Linked DNA regions of Oryctolagus cuniculus. The protein of the gene in region 3 purifies or fractionates together with the protein of the main gene of each other region. This does not show direct contact. Links are inferred from orthologs where the notes say so. Each region holds a gene or a part of one and is shown on either strand. Other genes may lie near its edges.

The links.
Region 1: the proteins of CTNNB1 (region 3) and CTNNA2 purify together in Homo sapiens (co-immunoprecipitation; 5 studies listed by BioGRID and IntAct, with this or other methods). This does not show direct contact. The link is inferred for Oryctolagus cuniculus from reciprocal best matches to the Homo sapiens genes CTNNB1 and CTNNA2.
Region 2: the proteins of CTNNB1 (region 3) and EGFR purify together in Homo sapiens (affinity purification with western blotting; 4 studies listed by BioGRID and IntAct, with this or other methods). This does not show direct contact. The link is inferred for Oryctolagus cuniculus from reciprocal best matches to the Homo sapiens genes CTNNB1 and EGFR.
Region 4: the proteins of CTNNB1 (region 3) and DDX5 purify together in Homo sapiens (affinity purification with mass spectrometry; 3 studies listed by BioGRID, with this or other methods). This does not show direct contact. The link is inferred for Oryctolagus cuniculus from reciprocal best matches to the Homo sapiens genes CTNNB1 and DDX5.
Region 5: the proteins of CTNNB1 (region 3) and FBXW2 purify together in Homo sapiens (affinity purification with western blotting; 4 studies listed by BioGRID). This does not show direct contact. The link is inferred for Oryctolagus cuniculus from reciprocal best matches to the Homo sapiens genes CTNNB1 and FBXW2.
Region 6: the proteins of CTNNB1 (region 3) and USP4 purify together in Homo sapiens (affinity purification with western blotting; 3 studies listed by BioGRID). This does not show direct contact. The link is inferred for Oryctolagus cuniculus from reciprocal best matches to the Homo sapiens genes CTNNB1 and USP4.
Region 7: the proteins of CTNNB1 (region 3) and CDC73 purify together in Homo sapiens (affinity purification with western blotting; 3 studies listed by BioGRID and IntAct, with this or other methods). This does not show direct contact. The link is inferred for Oryctolagus cuniculus from reciprocal best matches to the Homo sapiens genes CTNNB1 and CDC73.

Annotation. Positions count from the first base shown.
Region 1 is NC_091433.1:122,032,543-122,034,860, reverse strand, and holds the end of CTNNA2 (catenin alpha-2), read left to right. Parts: intron 1-641; coding exon 642-929; 3' UTR 930-1,818; downstream 1,819-2,318. UniProt on the Homo sapiens protein: May function as a linker between cadherin adhesion receptors and the cytoskeleton to regulate cell-cell adhesion and differentiation in the nervous system. Required for proper regulation of cortical neuronal migration and neurite growth.
Region 2 is NC_091447.1:57,841,134-57,844,633, forward strand, and holds part of EGFR (epidermal growth factor receptor), read left to right. Parts: intron 1-227; coding exon 228-379; intron 380-1,195; coding exon 1,196-1,379; intron 1,380-3,020; coding exon 3,021-3,155; intron 3,156-3,500. UniProt on the Homo sapiens protein: Receptor tyrosine kinase binding ligands of the EGF family and activating several signaling cascades to convert extracellular cues into appropriate cellular responses.
Region 3 is NC_091441.1:106,476,750-106,480,249, reverse strand, and holds part of CTNNB1 (catenin beta-1), read left to right. Parts: intron 1-167; coding exon 168-271; intron 272-348; coding exon 349-687; intron 688-911; coding exon 912-1,070; intron 1,071-2,733; coding exon 2,734-2,853; intron 2,854-3,073; coding exon 3,074-3,224; intron 3,225-3,317; coding exon 3,318-3,439; intron 3,440-3,500. UniProt on the Homo sapiens protein: Key downstream component of the canonical Wnt signaling pathway.
Region 4 is NC_091448.1:14,232,431-14,234,681, reverse strand, and holds the end of DDX5 (probable ATP-dependent RNA helicase DDX5), read right to left. Parts: intron 1,655-2,251; coding exon 1,430-1,654; intron 1,207-1,429; coding exon 803-1,206; 3' UTR 501-802; downstream 1-500. UniProt on the Homo sapiens protein: Involved in the alternative regulation of pre-mRNA splicing; its RNA helicase activity is necessary for increasing tau exon 10 inclusion and occurs in a RBM4-dependent manner. Binds to the tau pre-mRNA in the stem-loop region downstream of exon 10.
Region 5 is NC_091432.1:224,702,512-224,706,011, reverse strand, and holds part of FBXW2 (F-box/WD repeat-containing protein 2), read left to right. Parts: intron 1-1,337; coding exon 1,338-1,532; intron 1,533-3,500. UniProt on the Homo sapiens protein: Substrate-recognition component of the SCF (SKP1-CUL1-F-box protein)-type E3 ubiquitin ligase complex.
Region 6 is NC_091441.1:99,898,335-99,902,305, forward strand, and holds the start of USP4 (ubiquitin carboxyl-terminal hydrolase 4), read left to right. Parts: upstream 1-1,171; 5' UTR 1,172-1,251; coding exon 1,252-1,352; intron 1,353-3,475; coding exon 3,476-3,603; intron 3,604-3,971.
Region 7 is NC_091444.1:9,863,496-9,866,995, forward strand, and holds part of CDC73 (parafibromin), read left to right. Parts: intron 1-1,553; coding exon 1,554-1,770; intron 1,771-3,500.

The DNA.
Region 1 (2,318 bases), on a different chromosome or scaffold from region 3:
TCAGTGACTGTTCCCCAATTTATTAGACCCTGACACAATTACTGGTATTTATATAAGAATGATATTCATTATGTGGAAATAATTAAATGGATACTCAGAACTCCATAACCTAAGTAAGAAACAGAATACCCATGGGTCGTATCTATGCTTAACGGCTTTTATCTTCACTAATTCTGTGTCTAGGATAGGAAATGGTCTATGATAGAAAGGCATGTTCACCATTAGAGCCAGAGAAGTCCGAATATAACTCTTTATAGCATTTGATTCTTTAGTACCTGCTAAAGGCTTTTCAAACATTTTTGCTAATTAGGCTAATATAATAATATTGAGATATTTCACTTTAGCAAATTTTTGTCTAGGAATCACACATGTTAAAAAGGGTTTAGTGGTATTGAGATTTTAGAAAGCTATGAATCATAGACCAATCTTTTTTTTTTCTTTTTTCTTTGGGATTAAACATAGGAGAGGACAAGTGACTGATCTGTAGCCTATGTATCTTATCTTGTGCTAACTTGCTCCTTTTTGGTAATACTGTATACTTGTCCAAGCAAAACAGTGTTTGACTTGTGAAATTGTACCAACATGTTGTGCATTTGGGGACTCAGTTAACCCAGGTGTATTTTATTCTTCTCCCACTCTAGCTGGACAGTGCTACATCACTTATCCAGGCAGCTAAAAACCTGATGAATGCTGTTGTCCTCACGGTGAAAGCATCCTATGTGGCCTCAACCAAATACCAGAAGGTCTATGGGACAGCTGCTGTCAACTCACCTGTTGTGTCTTGGAAGATGAAGGCTCCAGAGAAGAAGCCACTTGTCAAGAGAGAAAAGCCTGAAGAATTCCAGACCCGAGTTAGAAGAGGTTCTCAGAAGAAACACATTTCGCCTGTACAGGCTTTAAGTGAATTCAAAGCAATGGATTCCTTCTAGGACGATAGGGTTTCGCAAGAGAGTTTTTTCTTTTTTTCTTTTCTTCTTTTCTTTTGAATTCCATTTTTGTATGCATACCTGCCGACTCGTATGCCTCTGGCATGGGGAAATTAAGGGAGCAGTATCTGTTTGCATGTAAGATGAGATGGGATCAATACTGCTGATCCATCTGTAGCCCTGGGAGGGGACAGGGGATTCCTGTCCCGAGGTAGCACAGAGCTGTCCTTTGCAAATTCTCATAAAGCTGGGCAAAGAGTTCCCATCACAGTGTTCATGGGAGCGGGAGGGAGGGGGAAAATAAACTTAACTAAAAGAGCAAACTCTAATGCATGCAAGAATCATTAGGTTGGCAGGTATATTCATAAGTGAAAAATCTGGAAGTGTAATGGTAGAACATAAAACTTGTATTGCTTCTGTTTCAGTGCAAAAATGTACTAGCCAATACGCTTAAATGTGTGGCCCACAAATTGAACAATTTATCCTTGAAGTCATATCCATGATATTAAGTGGATTTTTATCGGAGAGGAAACTAACTAGTCCAGAATAAAGTGCTTCTTTTAATCTGCATTCTGTTCTTTTCCAGTAGTGCCATTACTAGTGCTCATGTTATAATTTTTCCCCTTTACTGAAAACAATAAACATTTGTTTGAGATAATTAAAATCATTCTGGGGGCACTGGAAGCACAATATGGTGATCAATCTTGTGTTTTTCTTTTTTAATTTAAACTATGATTTTGCTAGAAATAGAAAGCCCAATGGTGGAGTGTTAGCAGAATGGAAACTGACCATGTTTGAAGGTTTAGAGGCAAATACATAGGTGTAGCTTGGAGTGCTGGTATCTAACATACCGTTGTATCCACTAACTCAAAATAAACACATTTAATCTTGACATCTGAAAAATGTTTTCATTCTTTAAATGCCTACTTAATAAATTAGAGCATCTTCTTAAAATTGATTCAAATGCGTTTTGTTTGGGTGTGTTTTGGAAATTACAGATAAAATCTGTGATTTCCAAATAATTCTCTCAGTCATCTTCAGAAAACAAAAAATTTTTTTTCATTTGTTTTAATTTACTTTCTAACTGAATCTAAAATGAGAAATTCTTTTATTAGAGTTTTCTGGGCCATGCGCAGCCTTGGGCGAAACTTAATGTGTTCTCAGAAACATAAACTGAAAAAAAATTGTAGAGAAGCACATTAATTTCAAACTATTTAATACATTTTAATTTTTCCCTAAATTGGAAAAAAACAGGGCCTCTGTCCCATAACCATGGAGGAGTGACTATAATCTTCCATCTGTGGACTAAAGAGTCTGAAAAAATAATCAAAACAATATTCACCTGAATGCTGCAAACTCTTCCCACTAGAGTCATAACTTCAGACAATCACA
Region 2 (3,500 bases), on a different chromosome or scaffold from region 3:
TGTAACATTTCTTTGTGCTGTGAATTTAAGAATAAACTGCCTCCTGCTTATTCTTATTCTGCGTTGCATTTTCTGTTAACTTAAGCACCCTTCATGGTACTCACTCTTAGTGTCCTTGATCAGAGTTGATGTTGAAAGTCACTGAAGGTCCCCATGTGTGCAAACATAGCTTTGCCTGGGTTTTGCCCTTCCACTCAATGTCGTATATGGTCTCTCTCCCTCCCTAGTTTGCCAGGGCACAAGCAACAAGCTGACCCAGCTCGGCCCTTTTGAGGACCACTTCCTGAGCCTGCAGAGGATGTTCAACAGCTGTGAGGTGGTGCTGGGGAACCTGGAGATCACCTACGTGCAGAGGAACCACGACCTCTCCTTCTTAAAGGTTGGTTGTGTGGCTTTGTTTCCCACACAAATGCCATGGCAGGACAGGTGAGGGATGTACAGCTTGGCTGAATTTAACTTGAAGTTTACATTCACTCTGGGGTATTGAAAGTGAGAGTGGCATCAAAAAGAAGGCAGCCTCAGTGGCATCACAGCTGGGACAGGAGATTATGGCTCTAGCATGCTGTACACTGACAAGAGCCCTGAGTGTTGCTTCTGCCTGGGGTACTGGTGCTGTGGCTCTCAGAGAAAGTGGTCCTGTTCTGTCTCGTGTGCCTGTTGCCTTGGGGTAAATGTTCCCACCATGGCTCCATTTTGAGCTCCCATGAGCTTTACAGCCATTCACGAAACTTCCATAGGCTCCAAGGAGCTGGGATGAACCCCCTTCCCACACAGAAGGCTTCAGAGAATTCTTTGTCTCAGGTGAGACACACTCTGAGTGATCGTTCCATCAATGTTGGTGGCAGTGAAGCTGTGCTGAACTTGCTTGACCCCATTCTGCTCTGGGCGTCCTGTAAATGAGGCATCATGTGAGAAGGATGTAAAAGGCAGTTGTAAATGTGCCAACTCTGTCGAGTGCAGAGCGAGAGCTGTAGTGTTGCTTGGCTACACACACCACTGTGGATTAAGGCTTCGCAGATGCTCCAGGCCCTTCCCCCCCTTTCCCAGATTCTAATCCCCTACTTGTCTTACACCTGACGGCCACTCCTGTGCGTCTTAATTCAGTCAGGTGCCCTGGGCTTCAGGACTCCTTTTAGACCCTGAATTCCTGAGCTCCTCAGAAGAGAAGCACCGTGCTCATGTTTTGTCCTCTCAGACCATCCAGGAGGTGGCTGGCTACGTGCTCATTGCCCTCAACACCGTGGAGAGCATCCCTTTGGAGAGCCTGCAAATCATCCGAGGAAACGTGCTGTATGAGAACACCTACGCCTTAGCCGTTCTGTCCAACTACGGAGCCAACAAGACCGGGCTGAGGGAGCTGCCCATGCGGAACTTGCAGGGTGAGCAGGTGCCGTGGGAGGTCGCAAAGGCAGGGGGTCTCTGAGCCGGTCACCTTCCTTAGTGCCACCTCAGAGAAGACTTGCACTCATCAAGTCACACATGTAGTAGTGCTAGCCACACGCCAGACAACAGGTGTAAACTAGGCACAGTAAGCCATTAGCAACACCAGTGATACAATAGAAGGGTACCAGTGGTAGCGATACACAGTAACGAGCTGTGTGTGCCCGCAGGACCAGGCACTCCCCTCCTCCCTCCCAGTGTCTTGTTGAGCACAGGTAACTGTGACTGCAAATAGGAGGGACGCGTGCATGTTCGAGGCCACTGCACACTGGGTCTTAAGCAGCGCTGCCCTAGGAATTCAGGCTGAAGTTCAGGGTAGGCAGCAGAGGTTTCAGTCTGATACTTGCAAGGCCACTGTGAGATGCCTCTGTGCACGATGACGGGTTTTAAAGCTGGTGATAAATGTCACTCTGCATGCAGCAGCCATGCGAACTGCGCATATCCTTCCCTCTGGTAGGCACTGCAGTCCGCCGTCTCACAGAGAGAAGCAGGGGAGTTACTCGAGGGCTGCACTCTGCGAATCTCTGCCCCAGACTCCCACCCTTCCTGCTGCCCCCCAGGACAGGGATGCGATGAAAGCCAAGGCACAGAGTGGAGGAGTTGGGTCTGAACTTGCAGGGACGTAGTGGGAGCACAGGGCTGGGTCTGCTCCCTTCCAAAGCAGAGAGCAGAAGCAGCCTCTCCTTGCCTTCTTAGCCCATGGTTGCCATTCTGTGAATCCACCGTGAGCCTTCCCAGCCACTGCTTCAAGGCTCAGGTGCCCTCACACATGCCACCTTCATACCCTTTACTCCACTGGTACTAAGAGTGCGCTGGGTAAGCCTGGTACCTGTGCTGGGAATCTGAGTTTTCAAGGCTTGCAGGTGCCATCTGCCCTTCTCATCCTGTCCATCTGTCCATGGCTCACTCCAGCCTAGCCCATTCAACCCCCGAGGAACCACCCTACATGGCTCACTCCTCTGTGCTCTGCCCACTGATGGAGCCTGCCTCTTCCTTCCTTCCTCCTTCCCTGTGACTAAATTTTTGACCATTGGAGGCCACATTGAGGGCATCCTCTCTCCTCTATGGCACTGTCCTCAGATGAGTCCTGTTCTGCATCCAGGTTTCATAGGATTAGCCCTGGACTCCTGTTCCACAATATATCTTTTCTTTCTTTTTTTTTTTTTTTTTTTTAAGATTTTACTTATTTGACAGAGTTAGAGAGAGAGAGAGAGAGAGAGAGAGAAACGTCTTCCTTCTGTTGGTTCACTCCCCAAATGGCCGCAACAGCTGGAGCTGCGCCAATCCGAAGCCAGGAGCCAGGAGCTTCTTCCCTGTCTCCCACGTGGGTGCAGGGGCCCAAGCACTTGGGCCATCCTCCACTGCTATCCCAGGCCACAGCAGAGAGCTGGACTGGAAGAGGAGCGGCTGGGACTAGAACCGGCACCCACATGGGATGCCAGTGCCTCTGGCTGAGGGTTAACCTAGTGCGCCGTGGTGCCAGCCCCCACACTACATCTTTTCAACAGAATGTGAAATGCTAAGAAAGGCACGTGTGGTTCCTGAGGGGACGTTTCTCACTGAATCTCCTCCCCTTGCAGAAATCCTTCATGGAGCTGTGCGATTCAGCAACAACCCTGTCCTGTGCAATGTGGAGACCATCCAGTGGCGGGACATTGTTCACGGTGACTTTCTGAGCAACATGTCTCTGGACATGCAGAACCCCCTGGGCAGCTGTAAGTGTGTGCAAATCTTCTGTCTGCCAGCAACTGTGCTGGTAGGCAGAGCTGTACGTCAGTGGGGTGGGAGGAAGGAGACACACAAAGAATTAGTGCCTGTGCTCACTCAGGAACACACATGTAGGGCAGAGGAAACAGGGCCTTCTGTGGTGAGACTTGGACTGCAGAACAGAGCACCTCGGGATGGCCAGGCCCTGCTGTGGCCCTTTTGCAGAGGCCCTGGTACAGGGCCAGCTTCTCCCTTGCTGCTGAGTCTCAAAGTAGCACCCAGGCCAGCTGAAGCCTTGAGACTGACCTCTGTCCGTGGGAGGAAGTTTGTCCACTTTCCCTAGGTGCTTGGGA
Region 3 (3,500 bases):
AGAGAGGAAGGGAACAGTAGCTGTTTGACAGAATGTCACTAATGAAATAAAGTGGAATAGAAAGGGACCGGATATAAACACTCAGGGAGGGACTACAGAGGGTGTTTAGGACTGATGGGGATGTTGAGCCTACTAGCCACTGCCGTATCTGCTTTGTAATTGTCCAGGAGGAATGCAAGCCTTAGGACTTCACCTGACCGATCCTAGTCAACGTCTCGTTCAGAACTGTCTTTGGACTCTTAGGAATCTTTCAGATGCTGCAACTAAACAGGTAAATCCTAAGGAAACTGTGCTTTTGTGATGAAATCAAAGGGAATGTGTACCAAGCCTCTGTTTTTATCTCCACAGGAGGGGATGGAAGGGCTTCTTGGGACTCTTGTTCAGCTTCTGGGTTCAGATGATATAAATGTGGTCACCTGTGCAGCCGGAATTCTTTCTAACCTCACTTGCAATAATTATAAGAACAAGATGATGGTGTGCCAAGTGGGTGGTATAGAGGCTCTTGTGCGCACCGTCCTTCGTGCTGGGGACAGGGAGGACATCACGGAGCCTGCCATCTGTGCTCTCCGTCATCTGACCAGCCGACACCAGGAAGCGGAGATGGCCCAGAATGCTGTTCGCCTTCACTATGGACTGCCAGTTGTGGTGAAGCTCCTGCACCCGCCATCCCACTGGCCTCTGATAAAGGTAAAACATCAACAAGGTAGAATGCTGCTGAACTGGAAATGACCTGCCTCTAACTATAGGATGGATATCTACGCCAAGGGGTTGATAAATAGGAATTACATTTCTTAGTAATAAATGTGGCTGGGGACAGGTAGGATTCTGAAGTGTTGGCGTATAGATTTAGTGTGGTGGGAAACTTCGGGTAAGAAAATGATTGTGTTGAGTTGTATTTTTCTTACCTGCAGGCTACTGTTGGATTGATTCGAAATCTTGCCCTTTGTCCAGCCAATCATGCACCATTGCGTGAGCAGGGTGCCATTCCACGCCTAGTTCAGTTGCTGGTTCGTGCACATCAGGATACCCAGCGTCGCACATCCATGGGTGGAACACAGCAGCAGTTTGTGGTAGGTGAATCTTGGTAGAAAGGGCCAGCTAAGTCCAGAGGATCCTGAGCTACATGGCTTATTGGCTCTGCCAGTGCCCTTCTTGAGAGGAGTGTGAATGGCTAAAAAACCTGACAGTGTTGTGTGGGAGCAGAGATCCTGTGGACCTCACTGATGCTGCTTAGGCATGTGCTATGCATGATCAGCCTTTGAGTTTGGAAGTACTGGTACTCACCCAACACAGGCTCACCTCTTCAGGAAGGAAGTGTACTAGTTGAGTCATACTGTGAATAGAAGTCTCTCTGATGGAAGAGTTTCTTATCCCCCACTATAAGCTGAGTTTTGCACCAAAGTATTTGACAGGCCTTTTTACTCTCTCTTCCATGAGAGTTTTAACAACTGTTTTCATGAACTTAAAACTGTAATACTGAATTCAAAATAAGTAGTAGCATTTATGCAGTCTTGATCCATAATATTTTTAGCCTAAAGCTGTGATGTTGACTATTAAAACACATACTACACATGTAGTTAAACAAGGACACTTCTCACCTTTTAGACATTTTTTTAAAGACTCAAACCTTTTAAAAGTTTTCTCTAATTAGGCTCCTTTAAATAAGAAACATGGACCTTACCAGGACAGAGTTTGATAATCCCATTTTGCCAGTAGGTCTGTGTGCGTGTGCACTCATTTGCACTCCGGCTTTGGCTTTCTGTTCACTGCTTTTGGTGTTAGCCCATCTCCATAGAGTGCCTTAATAGAATGCCAAAGAATATCTTGTCTGGTTTTTTGAATCTCAGAGATTTTGTGTCCTCACGAAAAGTCAAGTTTCTATTTTTAAAACGCCACTAAAAGTATTAGAATGATAACGGAAAGAAAAACCACTCAAACAGGAAGCAGATGGTACTTCATTTGTAGAAGCTAACATCCTTCTTCACATCCAGGCTATCTGTTGAATGGCCGTAGGAGAATCGCCTGCAGAGTAGGGTTTCTTGTGATGAAACTTTGTTCACCAAATACATGTAAACATACAGGACTAGAAGGGGCACATGCCGTAAAAACATAGTTTGAACATCACTTCCCATCCACGTATCTTCTCTGTTTATATACTTTTTAGTCAAAATGATCAGTGCCCTTTTGTAAGAAAGTTACTTTGGGATTCAGAGGTCCATGGGAATTGTACAGTTAGCCCTTAGTATCTGAAGGAGATTGGTTCCAGGACCCTCTCTGGATACCAAAACCCACAGATGCTCAAGTAATGCATGTCCTCCTATATATTTGAAGTCATCTCCAGATTCCTTATATTATCAGTATAGTATAAATCATTGTTATACTTTGTTCTCTTTATAATTCCCTAAACAATAAAGTCTAAATAGTTCACCGTAGATGCAGGTTTTTTTCCTTTTAATAGTTTTGGTCTGTAGTTGATTGAATGTGGATTTGGAACCCAAGGATACAAGGCCGACTATACTTTGCGTATCACAGAGGGGTGTTGCTTACCAGTAGTGCCACTAGGAAGCCTCCTTTTGGTGACATTCAGGTGAATGGGAATCCTCCTTTATTCCTGCACTAACCAAAAATTACGGGGAGCTTTGGGCAACTGTAGTCTAGTAATTGCTGCTCAGAACCATTTACAGACTTTAAAGAGAAGACTGTCCTGTTGGTTAACCATGTTTCTTCTGGTAGGAGGGAGTCCGCATGGAAGAAATAGTGGAAGGTTGTACGGGAGCCCTTCACATCCTAGCTCGGGATGTTCATAACCGAATTGTAATCAGAGGACTAAATACCATTCCACTATTTGTGCAGGTATGTTGATTTTTAAATGAGGTGTTCTAGATTTTACATGTCTAAAATTTCATTGTGTTTCAGAAAATTAGGGACCAGAAAGATAGGGGAACTAACATTTAATTTTATGAAAATTGCCCCCTCACACACCCATTTTTTTGGTCAGTAGAAAGGAAAACATTGGGACTATAGCCTGTGTTTTAACTCTGGGTTTTCATTAGGTTTTGTGTTTTCTCTTTAGCTGCTCTATTCTCCCATTGAAAATATCCAAAGAGTAGCTGCAGGGGTCCTCTGTGAACTTGCTCAGGACAAGGAGGCTGCAGAAGCGATTGAAGCGGAGGGAGCCACAGCGCCTTTGACAGAATTGCTTCACTCTAGGAATGAAGGTGTTGGTGAGTAGAAAAAGAACCAGGGCTGTGGTGGCTGTCGTGTATGGTGAAGTCTCACCTGTTCCTTAAGGACCTTTTGTTTCTGTCCTTTCCCAGCCACGTACGCCGCTGCGGTTTTGTTCCGAATGTCTGAGGACAAGCCACAGGATTATAAGAAGAGGCTTTCGGTGGAGCTGACCAGTTCTCTCTTCAGAACAGAGCCAATGGCTTGGAATGAGGTGGGCAGCTGTGTCCGCACGTGGAACTGGAGCCTGTAGAGCAGGGAAGGCAGCTTGCTCT
Region 4 (2,251 bases), on a different chromosome or scaffold from region 3:
GAACGTGGTGCAAATAGCATCAGACTCAAATGCAGCTCTTGGCCAAGTCCCTTAAAGGGCTTTCCAGCTTTGTTCAACATTTCAGTAGTTTAGAATATAGTGAAGAGAATATCATCTTCTGAAAAGGCAAATTACTGGAAATTTTTAAATTATAAATTTGCAAAAGGAACGAACAGTCATCCATGTTGTTCTTACTATACTCAATCTACTATCTCATGTAGTCATTCTAACAAGTAAGGAAAATAGGCTATTATTAAATGACCCCATTGATGTTGGGAGTTGCCAACAAAAACTTATGCAATTTAGCCTATAACTATGTTTACCCAGATCAGTCTCATTTTAATTCTTCCAATATGACCAGATCACTACACAAAGGGCCTTACTTATTGCCCCCCTCCCCTACAACCTCCCAAATTGAAAACTAGTCACTTAAATAAAAAAGACCATCTAAGCAAAGTTTTACATGACATTATATATGGAAAATAAAGTACAATTTCCAATTCAGTCTTCAAATATTTTTATTGGAAGGCCATGCATTGCCTTCATTTATTGTATTTCAAATCACTGTACAGTTACTTTTGTGAAAACACTGCCTGCATTTTCTAGTACAAAAAAAACCTAAAAATTGTTTCAGGAATGTAGAGAAATATCCAACTTAAATAGCGAAAAAGTGCACCATAATTACTGCTGCACTGCAGTCATTTCTGCATTTCCCATGTTTCTTAAATAACTATCTTGTCTGGTAACACACAATATAAAGAGCAATTATGAAAAACAGACATTTACATATACTTCTAAAGTCTTATTGAGAATATCCTGTTGGCATTGGATAACCAATCATAGGTGCAGCTGCAGTAGCAGGATATGCATATGCCTGTTGGTTCATACCATTGTGCATATTTGGAACATTACTTCCATATTGCTGAGTGCTATCATACCCATTCTGGTAAGTCCCTGTTGGATTACCAGTCCTAAAACTGGTCTGTAAACCAGCAGACACAAAATTACTTCCAAAGCTCCCATTGGTGTAACTTGCAGCACTGTAAACACCATTTTGAGTTTTTGCCCCAAAATCTCTCTTAAGCAGACTAGAGTAACCTCTGTCATAATTTTCCCTGTCTCTAAAGGTATTAAATCCACCCCTTTTGCCCGCAGAGTATCTGTCCCGACGGTCATCCTTCATGCCTCCTCTACCCCTGGAACGACCTGTCAAAAAAAAAAAAAATGTTGCAAACTTATTAATGTCTGCGGCACAATTTATTGCTAATATATAGAAAGTAGGTAATTCTAGTCATAATCATGGGTGGGAAGTATTTTTCAATTTCTCAAATTAAGTTTCACATTCAAGATTTTATTCCCCCTCTAATCCCACCTGAATGGATTTGTAGACGATGTGACCTGAAACCACCTAATTCAAGGCGAGTCTTACCTGCCCCTCTGTCTTCGACCAGCTGAAGCAACTTGGGGTTAATTGCTTGATTAGCTTCCCGAAGCACAGAGATAAGGTCGCTCACTTGCTTTATGTTATTAGGTGTAAAGAAAGTGTATGCTGTGCCCGTTTTGGTACTGCGAGCAGTTCTTCCAATTCGATGAATATAATCCTCTGAGGAGTTAGGGTAGTCATAATTGATGACAAATTTCACATCTTCCACATCTGTAAGGTGTTGCAGTGTGGCAAAATAGCAATGTATGGAGTTTTGCACACCACAACAGCCAGACCAAAAATAAAAAGTTAGACAATTGTATTCCCAAGAAGGTACGGGCTGCAAAAAATACAGTTAAAATGGTTATCCTTTCCCTGTAGGAATACCATTCAAGTTTAAAAAAAAAAAAAAAAAAAAGAGGAAAAAAAAAAAAGCACACATCAGCTGTACAAGCCATCGCCCACCCAGTGATAAAGCTTGTCGAAAGGAACGTGTGTTCCCTAGCACATTCCCAATTCAGCACGTCCCCTTACAGATCATCAAGTGACATCTGAATGCTTCTGCGCAGTAGGGCCACTTTTAAGTTTCACAGCAACCTCTTCATGTGCTCATTTTGAGGACCTTTAAACAAAAATGTACAAGGTCCTTTGCATTACACACTCATCGGAAGTTCAAAATTCAGGCCACACTGCTTGTCTTGCCAAGACCTTACAACCGCAGCTGCAAGAAAAACATACCTGTCCCCCAAAAGTTGTTTTTATGCACTGTGTCTCGTCTAGGCAAGCGCTTCCAAGAAGCCAGGATTCACTTGAGAATGTGTCTCTCTC
Region 5 (3,500 bases), on a different chromosome or scaffold from region 3:
ATTAGAATTCTCTTAGAGCCCTGTTTGTGTGTTTTGATAAAAGAACCCTCATGGTTCTGATCTCTCCTGTCCATTGAGAATCACCAGCCAAGTCTTACAAAATAGCAGGGTGACAAATACATTCATCATTTCAGTGTTCAAGCTCTTTCATAAGTGGTAACTATTTTTCATTTTCTGAAACAATGGCCCTTTATGAAAGGTGGAATTGTGGCTGACTTTGTGAAGTCTTTTCAGCTTTTAGAAAACTGATGATTTAGTGCTTTCCTAGGGTACTATGTTTTTATTATAGTACCGATGTCTTTTTCTTTATTGAGTTTTATTAAAGGTAAATTGTGAGACATGAGTTAGTTATTAGGATTTTAAACTTAATTAAAACCAAGTCTTGATTTTTTTTTTATGTTACCTCTAACAGTGCACATGTGGCTGAAAATCTTTATATCTTTGTTCCTTTTTTTTTTTAAAGATTTATTTTATTTATTTGAAAGACAGAGTTATAGAGAGAGGTATAGACAGAGAGGGAGAGGTCTTCCATCCGATGGTTCACTCCCCAGATGACCGCAACGGCTGGAGCTGCGCCGATCCGAAGCCAGGAGCCAGAAGCTTCTTCCAGGTCTCCCATGTGGGTGCAGGGGCCCAAGGACTTGAGCCATCTTCTACTGCTTTCCCAGGCCATAGCAGAGAGCTAGATTGGAAGAGGAGCAGCCGGGACTAGAACCGGTGCCCATATGGGATGCCGGCGCGTCAGGCCAGGGTTTTAACCCACTGCGCCACAGCGCCAGCCCCCAAGTCTTGATTTTTTTTAATTAATTAATTTATTTGGAAGGCAGAGTTACAGAGAGGCAGAGGCAGGGAGAGAGAGAGAAGTTTTTCATCTGCTGACTCACTCCCCAGATGGCTGCAGTAGCCAGGCTGGAGCTGGGCCAATGTGAAGCCAGAAGCCAGGAGCTTCTTCCAGGTCTCCCACGCTGGTGCATAGGCCCAAACAGTTGGGCCATCTTCCGCTGCCCTCCCAGGCCATAGCAGAGAGCTGGATCGGAAGAGGAGCAGCCAGGACTCAAACCGGCACCCATATGGGATGCCGGCACTGCAGGCAGCAGCTTTACCCGCTACACCACCATGCCAGCCCCCACAGTGCATTCAGTGCATTTGACACTGTTTTCATGACTTAGCAAGTCATGCAACTGGGACTCTTCGTTCTTTGGTTTTCTCAGCCATAAAGTCAAAGTGCTGGAAAAGGTGACCATTAATGTTCTCTTTTAAGAATACTTTGGTTTGAAGATTGACTTTGTCTTTTTAATATGCCTTTTCTTATTAACCTCCCTGTTTTTCTCTTGAAGGGTCAGATGACTTGTCTGCAAAGCTGTGGGATGTGAGCACAGGGCAATGTGTTTATGGCATCCAGACCCACACTTGTGCAGCAGTGAAGTTTGACGAGCAGAAGCTTGTGACAGGCTCCTTTGACAACACTGTGGCGTGCTGGGAGTGGAGTTCTGGAGCCCGGACCCAGCACTTCCGGGGGCACACGGGGGCGGGTGGGTTGCCCTTTTTCAAGGGTTTTTAAAATTGCTCTAACCTCATCTTTAAAGCCATAGGCCAAGAATGTGAAACTTTTTTCCTTTTCCATTTATCCCGTCTTTCCCCCTTCTTCTTCCTCAGGCACTGCAGTTGCTCCCTTTATTCCAGTTAGTCGTATATGGGATGCTCTCCCCACTTTTGCTCTTCCCCTCCTGGCCCATTTACAAATTCTATCTACTCTTACGTTGGGAAGGGTAGTTCTCCCTCCTTCCTATTTCATTTATATAATGTTGAACAGTCAGTCATCTTTGCTTTTATCAGATTCCCTATCTCCAAATTTGAGTAAGTCCTGTGCTTGTAAATTCAGACCACTTTATTTGTGGAATTAAAGCAGAAAATCCTTTGGAGTGATGGTGGTTCCCAGGTTGTGTGGTCTATAGATTACATCTGGTTGGAGCTTGATTAACATCTGATTAAAAGGTAACCACCTAGAGATAAACAGATGATTGCATAGTCCCTAAGAAATATACAGGAGCCTTATTTTGCAGAGAACTGACTTCTTTAATATAGCCTTGAGATTTGAACTTCTCTCTCTCCTGTATTTTGGAGCTTTGTGTGGAAATCGTATTAAGCTATTTCCCAGACTTCTGTGCTGCAGCTCCCTTCTTCTTTTTGCATTTGCCCACTGCTTTAGCCTCTGAGAATCAGTCTCCACTCTTAAGCATCACGTTTGTGAACAGTCCTCTGTGAACAGGTTGGGCCCTCTGCTGTAAGATGCCCAGAACACCCATCATGCAAATAAGGGTGGTAATCCCGATTCCTCCCGGACTGTAGCTCTGTAGGACAAGGGCCCTGCCTGGCTTGTTTACCCTTGTGTCTTGAGTTTCTTGTACTTTATGTGCCTAGTACTCAATATTCTTTAATGTAAACTCAGCTTTAGTCTTTGCTGTCTGCTACCAATCGCTGGTTTTAGAGATTGACATTTGAAGGTGTATGGCTTAGTATGGAACTTACATATTACAGAGTGTAGTATTCCACAGTGTCAAAATGTACCATGACTTCTAGTGATTTTATTCCTGATCAACTTCGATCTAAAAAATTTTCTACTTGCTGTTCCCTGGACATTGCTGCCGCTTATCTTAACTCCATGTTTTTGCTGACCCCTCTACCTGCAGTATTCTTTCTTTTCTTGATAAACTCTGCTCATCCTTCAGGGCTCATCACCGTTATTGCCTCTTCCCTGAAGTCCTCCCTGATACCCCTGGGCAGAGTTAGTCATTCTCCTTGGTGTTCCCCTAGCAAGAGGTAAACATTTATTTTTTTCTGGACTCCCTCCTCAATCCCTAACTTAGAGTGTGTTCCTTAATTAAAGAAAGGAACAGTATCATTGTCTCTGCGTCCTTGGTGTTCCTGTAGAGCCCGACAGACATTTAAAAACAAGTATTTGAGTACTGGCTCTACTGCAGACACTAACTTAGGTGCTGGGATAGAGCCATAAAGAAATTGAGCCACTGTTTTGAGTGAATGCCTTAGTGTGACCTTTGAGATTCCCCCTCCCCCTTTGATTCTCTTTACATTGGCCTTTCTTGAGTCTGGGTACTGTTTTGCAACTTATATTCTTTATGTTTTGTCTTACTGTCAGTGCGTATCTGAGCAGGGCCAGTTATATTCTGTTTTCCTGCATAAAGTAGATAGCTTTGTGTAGTGTCAGGCAGGCAGGCAGGCCTGAGAAGGGATACCAATATCTCCAGTACTGGTTTTGCCCTACTTGAAAGCAAATACAAATACAAGAAATTGTATTGTTTCTGGAATGTTCCAAGCTTAAAATAATCTGTAATAATAGCAACAGTTTTTTTCTTTTTTAAAAGCTTTATTTGTTTGAAAAGCAGAGTTACAGATAGGGAGAGACAGAGAGAGAGAGAAAGACACAGACAGAGAATCGATCTTCCATTTGCTGGTTCACCCCCCAAGATGGCTGCACGGCC
Region 6 (3,971 bases), about 6.6 Mb from region 3:
CACCCTCCCCAGAGGTCCCCGAGGGCCTCCCGGGGTGCACCACTGCCGGTGCGGGTGCGAAGCCCCTCGGCCATTCCCTCTGCTGCACACCTCCTCCAACAGGTGGGGCGTGGGGCTCCCCCAGCCTTCCTTAGAAATGCAGGACCAGCTTAGCCTGCCCACGCCCACTCTGATACTGTCCTGCTGTTCCAGAAGTTCTCAGCCTGCCCTCCTGTAACATGCGGGTGCAGCTCTCTGCTTCCAACACTTCCTTCAAGATCCCACTCATCCTGCTGAAAGTCAAGGCTGGGCTTGCGCCTGGCACTCCTACAGCCTGGGGTTCACACCCCGTAATGGCATTTGCCAAACACTGGAGCGATGTGCGGACGGTCTGTTCACTAGATTCTACGAGGGCAGGAACTGCTGGGCAAGCGAACGGCCAGTGCCTGGCCTCCTTGCTCTGGGTTCACTTCTCCCTCCGGGAAGACGGTGTTTTTCTGTGCGCGGGATCGAGTGTTTGGAACAGATGCCGGCGCACCTAACCAGGAGACCGCATCTGGAGCTCCCTTCTTCCCCAGCTGCTATCGCCCCTCCGTGGCTGCTGGCCTCGCCGACAAGGCCCAGTGGCCCAGCGCACAGCGCTGCGGGGCCCTGGCCACCGGCCAAGAGATTCCGCCGTCCAATGAGGGCACAGTGCACGCACGGTCGGTCCCGAGGAGTCGGTGCACCTGGCGCTCCCAAGCCCCCCGGAGGGATCTCGGGGCAGGAACACAGGTTTGGGCCGCTGAGGTCCCCAGCTGAAAGCGGAAATGGTGCGAGTGAGAACGAGAAAACTTAGTTCCAGGGTTTCTTGAACCGGGCCTGCCTTTGTTTAGGAAAAAGATAACGCCTTAGGCTAGGATGGGGTGCCCGAGAGGTCGTGGGGTGTTCCTTCAGGTCATCGGGCTGGACAGCGCCTCGGAGGCCAAGCGGGCGCCACTCTGAGCAGAGGAAGGCGTGCCTGACGGGCACCAGGCGGGCAGCTCGTGATAGGTGTGGCAGGTAGCGCAGGAGGAAGTGGCAGCCTCGGTTGACCCCACCCCACCCCCGCTCCACTGCGCATGCGTGGGAGGGGTGCGTGGGGGCGGGGAGAACCTGGGCGAGGGCGCGGCGCAAGGTGGGGCTGACGCGCGCACACGGGCGTGCGTGCGTGCGTGCGTGCGTGGGCGCGGCCCATAGCGCGGCGTGCGTGGGGCGGATGTCCGGGCCGGCTGGGCCGGGGCCGCGGACGAGATGGCGGAAGGCGGAGGTTGCCGTGAGAGACCGGATGCGGAGACCCAGAAGTCCGAGCTCGGGGCCCTCATGAGGACCACGCTCCAAAGGGGGGCGCAGTGGTGAGCAGCGGCCCCTCCCTTCCCCGGCGTAGAACTGGGGGCCGGGGCGCTGATCTTAAGGGCAGGCTCCCTTTTCTCGACTTGGATAGGAGTCGGGCGGGGGCGGTGTCCGATGACCCTCAAAGAGTGTCCTGACACCCGCCCTTGGGGAGTGAAACCCCAGGGTCAACTCGGGGAAAACGCAGGTGGGACTGGAGGTGGTCCCGGCCGGTTCGGAGTCCCAGGGGGCGGGTCCGGCGGCTATCCGCGCTGCAGGGTTTAAGAGAAGGGGAATGCTCCTCAGGGGTGTGGTGCGAGCCCTTGCCACCAAGTTCTCACCTTGTGACCTTGGGCCGAGGTGTCCAGCCCTCGCAGACCCTAATGCCTTACTGTTGAAACCCACCGGCTCAGTGGGTTGAGGCGAAGATCAGAAGTAGGTACTTTGTAACTTGTAAACTGCCAAGAAGATTTCAAGGGCAGACGTTAATCAAATGCCTGGAACCCCAGATTATTTTGGTATCAAATGTAAAAAATAACTGTGGCAGCAGAGCCTCCAGGCGGGAGAGGAGGGTGGCCCAGATCCCGGAGCTCCACAGAATGAAAAGTGCAAGGTTTAGAAGAGCCAGGCTGAGATAGGCGGGGATTAGACCAGGGGACTTCGTAGAGCTCAAAGAAACGTTGCATTGTTTTCAGATTTCATTTTTTCATGAATTGCTTGTTTGATGCACCCTCATACTGTCCACCAGGAGAGTGAGTCCTAGGTGGTGTTACTTGTGGGAGTAAAACACTAGGCTTTGCCTTGTGTATCACTGAGCGCTGTCTGTCTTTATCAGACCAGCAGAGAAGGGGAAACATTGGAAACAGGAGGAGTTCTGATAGGGGTTTTAAAAAAAAATAACATTGTGTGACCTGTGGAGTGACAGAGGGAGAGATAGATAGGGAGAGATGGCTTCCGTTCATCATTCCCCAGATGGTTGCATCCTCTGGGACTGCTCCAGGCTGAAGGTAGGAGTGCGGAACTCCACTGGGGGCTCTGACAAGTGTGGCAGGGACCCAGCACCTGGGCCATCTGCTGCTGCCTTCCTAGGAAGGTGAGCAGAGTAGCCGGGCTGGAATTGGTGCTGTCGTGTGGGATGCCAGCGTCACAAGTGGCAGCGTAGCCTGCTGTGCCTCAGCGCTGGCCTCACCAGTATAGTTGTGGTACTTCGCTGTCCCCCGGGGTTTTCTCCCTCCTGTCTGAATTTAAAGCAGCCTAGTGATGTGCTTAAAATAGGATGAGATTGGCTTGTAGTAATTAAGCATAAAAAGTATTGAGTGTCAAACACAACTTAATGCTTTTTGACAAGGTGACCTGACCTAGACACTGGTATAAGTGTGTGTGGCTGGGTACACACATGCGCTGTACATTTAGGGATATCTAACATGATCCTCAAAGGGAAACTGGAGTGGTAGTATTCCACTTATAGAAAGAAAGAAACTAGTTTAATGCTGTTCATGTTGAGCAAAGCAGAATAACCAGACTGCCTGCCTGGACACAGGCCTTTATCAAGATCACTGTCAAATTAATAACTTGTTTAATAGCAGGCGTGATTTTATGCATAGAAAGACTCCATTTACATAACCATTTTGAAGCTGATTTTTTCCTCCGTTTTATTTATTCTGTTTTTAAGAGTTGTTTCACTTAATGGATGCTTGCCCAGGGCCAGGCCCTTTGGTACCATTTTTTTTTTTTTTAGTGGGAATTACTTGTTCCCTATGTTTAAGGCTATAAAAAAATATTAAGGGAGGGGCCAGCATTGTGGCACAGTGGGTTCATCTGCCGCCTGCAGTGCCAGCATTCCATATGAGAGTACTGGTTTGAGTCTTAGCTGCTTCGCTTCTGATCTAGCTCCCTGCTAATGTACTTGGGGTAGCAGCAGAAGATGGTCCTAGTACTTGGGAGACTTGGCTAGAGTGCCAGACTCCTAGCTGTGGCCTGACTAGCCCCAAATATAGAAGCCATTTGGTGAGTGAGCCACCCTCTCTATCACTCTGCCTTTCAAATGAATAAAATAAAACTTAAAAAATAAAAAAAGGTATAAGAAAGCAGCTGCAAAAACTTACAACCCTAGCTTTTCTGCTTCTTCAAATTTTTGTCTCTCTAGGTATCTCATTGACAGTCGGTGGTTCAAGCAGTGGAAGAAGTATGTGGGCTTCGACAGCTGGGATATGTATAATGTGGGTGAGCATAACCTGTTTCCCGGCCCGATAGACAACTCTGGACTCTTTTCAGGTACAGTACCTTTTCTAGCTAAATGTTCACCTGGGCGGTGGCCTGAAACCACATGTATGTGTAATGTGGACATTGTGAGCCTTTCTCGGTTTAAGGAGACGTAAACAAGTGTCCTCAGTTGGCATCTGTCGCCTAAGGCTTTGCAGACCTGTAGGGTGAAGTTAAGCAGCTTTTTTACCTAAATAACTGCATCTAGCAATAGCATCCTTCCAATGTTTTAAATCCCTGTCTCTCTCTTTCCCTGCAAATGTGTTCTCAGATTAGTATTTGGGATGGTAAGAAGTAAAGTATCGTTTTTAAACTGCATCTGAAATTTGGGAAGCAGAATTTTTTGTTACCTTCTCAGTGGAACAAGTTGTAGACGTGTC
Region 7 (3,500 bases), on a different chromosome or scaffold from region 3:
GGGGAATAATATGCTTTCTAATGCCCTGAGAATATGAGGCTTTTAATCTGGATGGTGGGAACAGGTACTGTTCTTCACTCTGTGTAAGCACTGGGCATTGTTCTCTTTAATTCCATTGGATGATTGATTCTTTACCCAGCTTTAAATGATTTCGTTATCTTCATGTACTAATTGGTATTCTACTGGAATACTCCAAGGAATCTGTGTAGCTCTCTTCTCATGTGTTTTGTCCTGTGAATTCTCGCCACCTTGGTCTTGCTGTCGCCCCAGCTGCATTCCCTCAAATCGGGAGTTCTCTGAGGTCTTTGTGGGCTCTCTTCTTAATGCCCTATCTCGGAAGCCACCAAGGGCTCACCTTGTTGGTTTCTCATTTGTCAGGAAATCACTGTTCTACACTGTTTGATAATCTAATATCCTTTAAACCTGGTGTCTTGTCATTTTCACTGGTAATTTAAGACAGGAAGGTTAATCCTGTCACTCTGTTTTAGTGTGGCTGGAAATAAAGTCCAGTGATACCAAGTCCAGTGCAGGCTTGATTATAGTTTAGAAGAGCATTTGAACTTGACTCTAGGTGCTTTAGATTTTAGGGGAATGTTGCACAGTGTCACACAAAATGAGTCAGATACCACCATACCCATATTGATCATCTGCTATAAAGTATCTTCATACCTAATCTGAATAAAATTAGTTTACTTTATAATACTGCTGTATTTAAACCTGCAGGAATTTCTGTCCTTTTTCCAGATTTTGTGTAAACATATTTCAAGATTTTCATCTTGTGGCTAAAGTAATATTTTTGTCTACTCTTAATAAGGTACTCAAACACTTTTTAATTCTTTTTATCTTATTATATAAAAAGACACTTTGCTTAAGATTCATCTTACAAAATCTGTACTTTAAGTATTAAGTCGCTTTTTATACATAGTTCTGAAAATATAGCCTGTCTCTCTTTGCTGTTTTGGCTATTTGAAAATCAGATGCAGGGAAGATAAAGTGTTCAAACTATGGTTTCTTCCAGAGTTTAAAAGGGGTATGTGTTTCTGTGGTATATAAAAGCCTTTGTCACCTATGTATATGTTGTACCCTGTGACATACGGTTTTGAAACCTTGAAATAAATTTCAAGAAAACCTATAATTTTGAAGTCTTTATATAATGAATTTCATACTCCTCTTCTGGGACCCTCTTAACAACTGGCCTCGATATGTATGTTTATTTTCTGTGAATAGATGTGGGTTAACTAACAAAGTCTCAAAAAATACAAAGAAAACACTCATGTTAATGAGTTACTGCTCTTTTGGAGGGAAATGATAAATATAAAGACATTTGTTGCATTGTTTCTTCTGGAATTTATTAATTTACTCACAGTAGTATATCTGCATGAACCTTCTTTATGTGTTAAAATCTTGTAAGAGTACAAAATATGTCATTTTTATAGAAAGAAGGCTTTAATTGTTGTTACTTAAAGTGTTTTTACTAGAAAATTGTAACAATGTATTTGTGATGTGCTCAAGGAATTCTTGCTTTGAAAATTTAAAAAGGAATTTGATTTTAGGTCTTTATCTGAAGCCATGTCAGTGGAAAAAATTGCTGCAATCAAAGCCAAAATTATGGCTAAGAAAAGATCTACTATCAAAACTGATCTAGATGATGACATCACTGCCCTCAAACAGAGGAGTTTTGTAGACGCCGAGGTAGATGTGACTCGAGATATTGTCAGCAGGGAGAGAGTGTGGAGGACACGAACAACGATTTTACAGAGCACGGGAAAGGTAATAGAGGTTACTCATTTCTTAGAGTGCCATGTCTGTGGTTAGTCTGTGATTGGTTATGGAATTGCTTAACATTTTTTATTAGAAGGAAGTTTGTAGTTTTCACTCTTCGAAAGAACAATAATAATACAGATTTCCAAGTGGTCATATTTGTCCTTGCATTCCTGAACGTGGCTGTCAGTCATTCAAGAAGTTGATAAAATCTGAATCAGAGCGCAAGCCTCTCCACATACCATTTGTAAATTAGAGTGACCCAGTTTTTTTTTGTTGTTGTTGTTGTTGTTGAAACCTCATGTCTTGGGCCGGCGCCGCAGCTCACTAGGCTAATTATCCTCCGTCTTGCGGCGCCGGCACACCGGGTTCTAGTCCCGGTCGGGGCGCCGGATTCTGTCCCAGTTGCCCCTCTTCCAGGCCAGCTCTCTGCTGTGGCCAGGGAGTGCAGTGGAGGATGGCCCAGGTGCTTGGCCTCTGCACCCCATGAGAGACCAGGAGAAGCACCTGGCTCCTGCCTTTGGATCAGTGCAGCGCGCTGGTCACAGCAAACCGGCTGCGAGGGTGAACCAACGGCAAAGGAAGACCTTTCTCTCTGTCTCTCTCTCTCTCACTGTCCACTCTGCCTGTCCAAAAAAAAAAAAAAGAAACCTCATAACCTCATGTCTGGAGGGTTTTATGGCAAGCTCTTTGGTCATCAGAGCTGATATCATGAATTTTTTCTACATAAAGTAGAGAATCAGTCAGCAGACATTTATTGAGTATATTTTATACTTTATTGTGGATGTAGGACTTTCTATTTTTTTGCTTCTTCACTATGGGAGCTATTTTGTTGTTTTTGCTCCAAGACTGTGGGGTTTTCCTCTCTCTCTTTGTCCGCTGCCTCTTTTCTTCCTTGGTTCCCTCCCACTTCCTCCCCTTTGATTTTTCCTTCCTCCTCCTTCCTTCCCTTTCACTATTACAAATAATGCTTTAAAAGACATTCTTACACATATATAACTTTGTTCAGTTATGTGACTAGTAAAGGATTAAAATGAATTTCTGGTTAAAGGAGATGTGCAGTTTAAGAAAATTTTTTTATTTGAAAGGCAGAGTTTTAGGGAGTGACACAGAGAGACTGATTGATTGATCTCCAATCCCTGGTTTATTACCCAAATGGCCACAGCAGCCAGGGCTGTGCCAGGCGAAAGTCAGGAGCTTCATCCGGGTCTCCCATGTAGGCCACAGGGGCACAAACTCTTTCCCAGGTGCATTGACAGGGAGCCAGCTTGAAGTGGAGCAGCTGGAATTCACACCAGTGCTCATATGGGATGTTGCTGTTTCAGGCGGAGGCTTACCCCACTGCTCCACAGCACTGGCCCTGAGATGTACACTTCAGACCTTGAAAGATAACATGAATTTCTGCAAAGGAAACATTGATTCTGTCTCATGTGTATATTTTCATCAGTCTTTCCTGTTCTACACCTCAGTTTTCTGTTAAACGTTCATTATCCTCTGATGTACGGTTGTTAAATGATCTAATTAAGAATATTTGAAGAATCATGGCAATTAGTGATGAGCTTCACTGTTCATCACTTCAGCATTCTTCTAGGCAGATTGATTTTGATTGTAGAATTTTGAGATTTTAGTCTGAAATTTACTCTGACATTGTAAGAATAAAGCTACTAGAGAAGAGTGTTTAAAAAATGATTTATTTTTGGAGGGAAGGGTAGCCCACATTGTAGCTTAGTAGGCTAAGC